Linked DNA regions of Arabidopsis thaliana. The protein of the gene in region 1 interacts with the protein of each later gene in a pairwise test. Each region holds a gene or a part of one and is shown in the gene's direction. Other genes may lie near its edges.

The links.
Region 2: the proteins of MYB5 (region 1) and NAC015 interact in a two-hybrid assay, tested with the Arabidopsis thaliana proteins (one large-scale study listed by BioGRID).

The regions. Positions count from the first base shown.
Region 1 is NC_003074.8:4,418,091-4,422,508, forward strand, and holds MYB5 (myb domain protein 5), read left to right. Parts: upstream 1-1,869; 5' UTR 1,870-2,148; coding exon 2,149-2,444; exon of another isoform or gene 2,445-2,899; coding exon 2,900-3,353; 3' UTR 3,354-3,661; downstream 3,662-4,418. Other genes in the region: MAPKKK7 (mitogen-activated protein kinase kinase kinase 7), read right to left, coding at 1-52, 175-258, 325-415, 493-566, 729-749, 865-999, 1,171-1,230. UniProt on the Arabidopsis thaliana protein: Transcription activator, when associated with BHLH002/EGL3/MYC146, BHLH012/MYC1 or BHLH042/TT8.
Region 2 is NC_003070.9:12,070,767-12,074,641, forward strand, and holds NAC015 (NAC domain containing protein 15), read left to right. Parts: upstream 1-1,844; 5' UTR 1,845-1,974; coding exon 1,975-2,137; intron 2,138-2,226; coding exon 2,227-2,495; intron 2,496-2,581; coding exon 2,582-3,067; 3' UTR 3,068-3,199; downstream 3,200-3,875. Other genes in the region: AT1G33290 (P-loop containing nucleoside triphosphate hydrolases superfamily protein), read left to right, coding at 3,359-3,511, 3,578-3,640, 3,729-3,806.

The DNA.
Region 1 (4,418 bases):
CAGCCTCGTTAAGTTTAGTGGCAACTCCAAAGTCAGCAAGCTTCACAAGACCCTGAAGTGTGATGTAGTCAAGTATCTTTCTAAGGAAAAAGCCTAGAAGAATCTTATCCAGCAGATCTCAAAACAAAAACACACTGAAGACATGTCTGAGAATAGATAATATAGAAAACACACCTCCTTTGTCGTCAAAATATTTGCACCCTTAATATCACGGTGTATAACACCCTGCTCATGCAGATATACCAAACCTTCCAAGACCTGTATTCACTAGTTAGTACACAATGCATAACGAAACTTAACTCAACTTGAAAGATGTATACAGACCTGAGCAATGTAAACAGCCACCAAAGATTCTGGGAAAGGTCCAAATTTATTTGGTTTAATAATGTTTGCAAGAGAGCCATTCTCAACGTACCTGCAAACACATAATTGAACTTGAGTTTCCCGTCCATAGTCCAGAGTGGACCAAAATAAACAAAAAAAGCTACTTACTCCAAAATAATGTGAAGGTGAGTCTTTGTCTTCGACGACCCAAGATACTTCACAATGTTTTTATGGTTCAAGTTCTGCAATGAAATATTATCTCAGAATACATAGAGAAGAACTGCATCTTAACCAGCATCATAACCATTCATGAGAAGAAGCCAAAATTCAGAAGGTGATTGATTTGACATAAACTTAGTATCAGGATCCCAACTCTGTAAACAGTACAAAATTCAGAAAACTACCTTCAAAAGATCAATTTCTTGCTGGAGAAATTCATCCCAACAGCACAAGAATCATCCACATGTAAAAACCAGGATTAGTCAGCATAGCAGTGGTAAGGAACAAATAAGGAAGATAGATATAAGGAAAATAACAAACCATAATGGTGTTAAGATCCTCTTGAACAATATTTTCCAAAGAGACTTGTTTAATGGCCACAAAGTCACCATTCTCCAAGTCTAATCCTTTATAAACTCGACCATAAGCTCCTTTACCAATTTCATCTCCCAGCATCTACCCTCAACATATCAAGGATCAACCATTGAAATTAATCAAAATTGAAGAGAAAACAGCAAAAAGCACCAGACTTAAGCTTAAAATCAATAAAATTACTAAAGCTAAAATCTTAAGGAGACCCATTAGAAAACCCAAATCCCAGAAATTACGGAGAAGAAGAAAGCTCACATATTTGTTGTCGAGAGTCTTTGATTTGTGAAACTGAGATGACGTCATTTGCCGCGCCATCTCTTCTCGTTTCTTCTTCCTCCGTCAGCAGAACAAAAAAAATGCAGCGAACAGAACACAATTGCTCCTCAAGGAAACAGAATCCAATAAGAATTAGGGTTTTAATTTTTTGAGAAAATTGAAAGAAAAGATTTCGAGATTGGTGGAGTTGAAAGATCAGAGATGCCAGCTCTATTACAGTAGTGAAAATACATGACCAAATTTTAATAAAATCAAAATTAAGAAAAAGGAAAGAACAAAACAAAAGTTTTGGGTTAGAAATTGACTAACTGTAATAAAGGAGAGGTAATTATGTTAATTTCTCATGCGCCTGTATTCTTCTTTATTATGTGGCCCATACTTTTTATTTATTTACGATTTCACCCCTTTATTTCCCGATTTGTAAAAATACTAGCATTTTGTCCAATTACTGATTAATCATCTATTTAAAAGGTGGTCCAAATATTTAATGCTTTTTCACTGGTGTCAATTTTAATTAAGGTGGTTAGTATTCATTAATGTATTATCAACCATTTTGTTATAACTTTCTCAATTGTAGGAGCTGGTATAATCGGATGTTTATAGCCAATCAAATTATAATTCATAGTAGTATCAAATCTTTAATATAAATAACTAGAAGCAACTAACCTATGCATTGTAATAACATTAGCCATTTGGATTTCAATATGATTGTTACTGCAAAATCTTTAAAATGAAAGGAAAAAAAAACCACGCAGGTGAAATAAAAACCAAATGAAGATTATTACCAAACGCCGAAGCTAGCGCGTGAGAGAAAAGGTCGGTAGGTTCATTGGTAACATCAGCAGACTAATGGAGAGAGAGAAACTTTGAGAAAAGAAAAAAACAACCAATCGAAGAACTCATAGAGATCACGAAACCCTAGTGGAAAGAGAGAAAGCTTTGTTGAAGACGGCGGAGATGATGTCATGTGGTGGGAAGAAGCCAGTGTCTAAGAAAACAACGCCGTGTTGCACGAAGATGGGGATGAAGAGAGGACCATGGACGGTGGAGGAAGACGAGATTCTTGTGAGCTTCATTAAGAAAGAAGGTGAAGGACGGTGGCGATCGCTTCCTAAGAGAGCTGGTTTACTCAGATGTGGAAAGAGCTGTCGTCTACGGTGGATGAACTATCTCCGACCCTCGGTTAAACGTGGAGGAATTACGTCGGACGAGGAAGATCTCATCCTCCGTCTTCACCGCCTCCTCGGCAACAGGTATATATATAGATATTAAAAAAAAATCTCGTCAAGTATTCAACTATACAAGATCGTTTAGTTTATATGCATACGTATGTGTGTGTCTCTCTCTACCCATACACTAGAGTTATTTTTTTGTTTAAGCTAGCTAGGGTTTTATTTCTTCCACATAAACATGAAGGTTCTGATTTTAGCTTGATCCCATTTTTTCTTATAGCTATATAAAACAATTATACTTTGATTCTTGATTCGATATTTATATAGAACAAAAGGTTAATCCCTTCTCTAGTTTCTTTAGAGTATAATTTTAATTAAGTTGATTCTGGTTCTAGAGCAAATTAATAGTTCTAGAGATCATTCATTCTTTTTTCAAATTGTTTATGATTACTAGGATAAAAATGCAAGCTTGTTTTGTAACCATATTAGTAATTAACCGCTCTTGTTCTTCATGGAAATTCTAATGTGTGATGCAGGTGGTCATTGATCGCGGGAAGGATACCGGGAAGGACTGATAATGAAATTAAGAACTATTGGAACACTCATCTTCGTAAGAAACTTTTAAGGCAAGGAATTGATCCTCAAACCCACAAGCCTCTTGATGCAAACAACATCCATAAACCAGAAGAAGAAGTTTCCGGTGGACAAAAGTACCCTCTAGAGCCTATTTCTAGTTCTCATACTGATGATACCACTGTTAATGGCGGGGATGGAGATAGCAAGAACAGTATCAATGTCTTTGGTGGTGAACACGGCTACGAAGACTTTGGTTTCTGCTACGACGACAAGTTCTCATCGTTTCTTAATTCGCTCATCAACGATGTTGGTGATCCTTTTGGTAATATTATCCCAATATCTCAACCTTTGCAGATGGATGATTGTAAGGATGGGATTGTTGGAGCGTCGTCTTCTAGCTTAGGACATGACTAGATACAGGAAGATATATAGTTGATCGAATCTTGATGTCTTCTATATCTACCATGCTTCAAGAAGGGGTCACAGATGCGATCTAGAAGGTTGGCATATATGTGTACTAAGTTGTTTTGTGGTGATTTGTGTGATTATTATAAAACCATAAATTGTGAGTGTAACTGAGTACACAAACCTCTATTTATATATATGGATATATCTATTGCGAATAAATGAATCATCACTATCGTTAAATAAGACTCGTGGTAAGCTTTTGTCAAATACAGATAACTAATAAGCATGTTCACAATCTTAAATTATGGTACTAGATATGTTTCTAAGTTTAATTTCTTCAAGAAGTTTATTTAATGTAAACAATACAGGCTAGCTAAGTGCTAACGTTAAACTTCATATCCTTGAAAACAAAAATACACTAAACTTTATAAGCTATTAAACATATTCCGGACAGTTTACATACTAAAGTACGATAATAACATATATGTTGTTTGAAAAAAAAAACATATATGTTGCCTATAGGTTTATTATGTGTTTGCGTCACCACACGAGTTGAGGTTATAAAACTCTATTTTCATGTAATACTAAATTAAAACTCAAAAATGTTTGTTTTAAGTATTTCAGACACAATTCATGAGTTGTATATATAAGTTGAAACTTATAGGTTCTTTTTATCGATGAGGATATACTATAAGTTCGAAAATCAAAGTTTGTTGCGTAGTTCACATTTACGTATCTTATAGTAAGACCAATGTTGGTCGAAGATATAGTTTTTTACCTATGCATGCAGATTTATTGTTTAACACAGTTTTATGTATATATATGCTTACTTCATCACAGTCTCTCGTCCGTGCGTTCTCCCTCTAGAATTCGTTACTTAAAACCAAAAAGAACACCATGCCGTTTTCACATTGACTCTTCACACGTTCCCACATTTACGCCATATAAACTACCCTTAGTTAAAGCCTAGGAAAATTGAATTATAGACCAACATTAGCGGTTAGAATAATTGACGTTTAATTTACATAAGTTTTTACTTTTTACTTAAAACGAACTTCGCATGCGACTATG
Region 2 (3,875 bases), on another chromosome or scaffold:
GTACCGTAATTGTTTGTTTATGGTATTAACTACATAATGTCGTATAGTTTATGCATGTGGTCATGAAATACATATATTTCGTGTATATAAGGATACATTTACTTCGTGTACATGAGTATAGTTTGGATATTATTAGCCGTGCATTTAGTCAAAATAGGTTTGTAACCAATATCATCTCCAAGCAACAAGACGGTACTGCCATCATTTTGAGGATCCTGAACAAAAAACATCCATTCGACCAAGGATCTCCAGATCTGCTGATTGCAAACATTCATAAAAAAAAAATATTGTTGAAAAATTATCAAGAATGAAATACTAAGTAAATTGAAGTACAATCGAAAACTTACTTGTGTTACTTAGATTTTCATCAAATAAATCGATTCCAAAGTCTTTATCTTCTGAGTCTAATTTAGACGACATGACTCGAATGCTCCAATTGCGGTTATCTTATTACCTAGAATGAAATATGCTAACTCTACTTCACTAGCGAGGAATGACTTGATAAAAGGCGCATCATTGATATTAGGTATTACATTCTCTAAATCACACCACATCTTTTACTGGAGTTACCATTTTCGACAAGACAATTTGATTTCCGCCAGCTTAAATCTAGAGTTTTAATATACTATTAATGAAAAAAAAATCTTCTTACCATTAGTTCTTAAATCAAAATCTAAGATTTCTATTAAACCGGCCCGATGATCTTATCAAGATAACCAAACCTAAACCTAAAATTTCTATTAAACCGGTCCGGTGATTTTATCAATATAACCAAACTTTAATCTAAGATTTCCATTAAATCGATCCGATCTGATCCGATCCTATCGAGATAACCAAACTTTCATCCTAAATATAACTTAATTTATTGGAAATTACCAAAATGCACTGAAATAAATGGAAGAATGCAACACAATTCGCGATATTATTGGAAAAGTAGAAAACATACAGAAATTTTGTTGCACACAACGTAGATCATCATCATCCGTTGTATCTTATAAGTTTAACACCCTTAAAATAAATAATCAAAATTCACCTTACTCACGAACGTAATATAATTGGTTAGAAGTACATTAATCGTATGTCAACGTACATATACCAATACCATCACCACAGGTCCACAAGTCTCCCCATGTGCGATGCATGCATGAGATTTACCTACTTACTCGTCCGCTTGTTAAACTAACTCAAAATTCAAATCCCATTTTCATTGAGTTCATAAATCCATTTATATATTGGTTGCTTAAGTCAATGAACAATGAATCAAGGAATTAAACAGATTGAATGCTTGAAAGTTAGACAAACAAAAAAAAAAATCAGAAAATATATATCGTAAATGTCACTAACACAATTGGTCAATTGGCCCATTGTCCACTGCATGCCCTTTTTTAAAGTTAACTATCGAATAAAACTAGTCGATTTTAATTAGATTCATATTAATTGCTAACCAAACTTCACACATATACACAAATGTGGACCGTATAATAAGAATTGGAGTTCCCCATATGTATTTTTTTTCATTGACGAAAACCTTTGCTTACGGAGCAATTAAAATCAACACGGATTCGTTATTAATACCATGACATAACGATAATTATAATTTTGTTTTCCAAATTCACCGGGATCATTCGTTTAATAGATGAATAAAAAACTAGCTAGGGTCAACGTTCACGCAAGTGTAATACGGCTTAAATGCTGTGGAAGAGTCTTGATATTTCAGCTTTCACGATAGCTTTTTAAGCTTCTCCGGCGGCGTTGTCACCGGCCGTCAACTTCTTCATCATCATATACTATTAAGATTTGATTATTTAATTTGTGATAATAGAGTTGACGATTACGTGTGTGTAATCCCTCTTAGGATTTTCTCTAGGTCTATATAAACCTAGAACACGAAGAGTGCTTGAAACAAAAGGCAGATCATTGTAATTCTATCTAGCTTTGTACTCAAACAAACATTGATCATTTATTAACCGAACAATGAGTTCGTCTAACGGAGGTGTACCGCCTGGTTTTCGGTTTCATCCAACGGACGAAGAACTTCTTCATTACTACTTGAAGAAGAAGATTTCTTATGAAAAGTTTGAGATGGAAGTCATCAAAGAGGTTGATTTGAACAAGATTGAGCCGTGGGATTTACAAGGTACGTTCTTTTATTAATAATACATATACGATCCAATCCTCTAGTTATATTAGATACTATACAAAAGCATTTTTTTTTTGTTTTTGTAGATAGATGCAAAATAGGATCAACGCCACAAAATGAGTGGTATTTCTTCAGCCACAAGGATAGGAAATATCCGACAGGGTCAAGGACAAACCGTGCAACCCACTCCGGTTTTTGGAAGGCGACAGGACGTGACAAATGCATAAGAAATTCTTACAAGAAGATCGGCATGAGGAAGACTCTTGTATTCTACAAAGGAAGAGCTCCTCATGGCCAAAAGACAGATTGGATCATGCACGAGTACCGTATCGAAGACACTGAAGATGACCCTTGTGTATGGATATATATCTCTTATTCATTAGAAAATTTGTGAAAGTCGGTCGATTTTTAATTGAATAAACCAATCTATACATAATGCAGGAAGATGGATGGGTTGTTTGTAGAGTGTTCAAGAAGAAAAATCTGTTCAAAGTAGGGAATGATGTTGGCTCAAACATCAGCAATAATAGGCTTGAAGCTCGTAGTTTCATCCGAAGAGAAAGCCCTTACCAAGGAATCTCAATGTTTGAGCTTAACAAGCCTGAAGAGATTAGTGTTCATCAATATCCTCAACCACCAATGTTTCAACCTCATCACAAGCCTCTTTCAATAGGCTATGACTATTCATTGGCTCTTCTACCAAGAGAAAGCGAGTACCAACAAGCGTGTCAGCCATCAGGGGTTGAGGTTGGCACGTGCAAGGCAGTAAGTGAATGGGGAATAGTGAATTGTAACATGGTGAGTCATGAGGACTCGTCTAGAGCGATGAGGTTTGAAGATGACGGTAACAACACTTCTTCCACGGTCCAGCCACCTTCTAATCTGCTTTCATTGCGCGGTGAAAATGGATTTCTTGGGTTGTTTTAAACAGATGCTGATAATGTTATATGTATGGATCTCTTCGTATGTAAGTTCTTTGATTACATGTATCCATTTATTTCATTCTGTAATTGGAAGCGAATTGCTTCACTGATAAGTTAATAAGAATTTCTTTGATCCATTCGTCTCCCTTCCTCTTCAAGGTATCGAAATAAATGATAGGTTAAGATATTTAATGTAGGCTTAAAAGCCCATAGGCCCAAAGGCCCATAAAGTTTTAATAACACGGTGGTGGTTTTGGGGAGCCTTCCTTATCCGCTCGGTGGGGGCTGTGAAACTATGGCCGGAGTTTGCGTCCCATGGGGCGGCGGAGCTTGTCGTCTTATTTCCCCAATTCGCCGGCGTTTTCCGGTTTCCTCCTCCGTCGCTTCTCTTGCTCTTCCAGACTCCTCCTCTATGATCGTCGACGACAATCTCGGCGCATTTCTCGAGGTCTAATTTACTTTTAATCACCTCTCTATTCGTCTTTGTTCTCTTCTCACACTTTCGTCTTTATAGATTCTTCCAAAAGATCTTCGTCACCGTCTCTTGAACGATTCAAGAAGAAACCAGCTCGTAGAGGTTATTGTTACTCTTGTGAAAACAATTTCAAAGGCTAAAAATTGAAATGAGAAAGTTTAATGGTGATGAATTTTGAAACCTTGATTAGGTCATAATGGATTTAGGAAGACCACCTGAAGCACGTTATCTCGGAGAACCTGGAGGTCAATATCTTAGGAACAACGAGGTAAAACCAATTATTACGTTTGTGTCTTTACTCTGTTGTGTGTTTGTGTGTTTAAATATGGATTCTTGT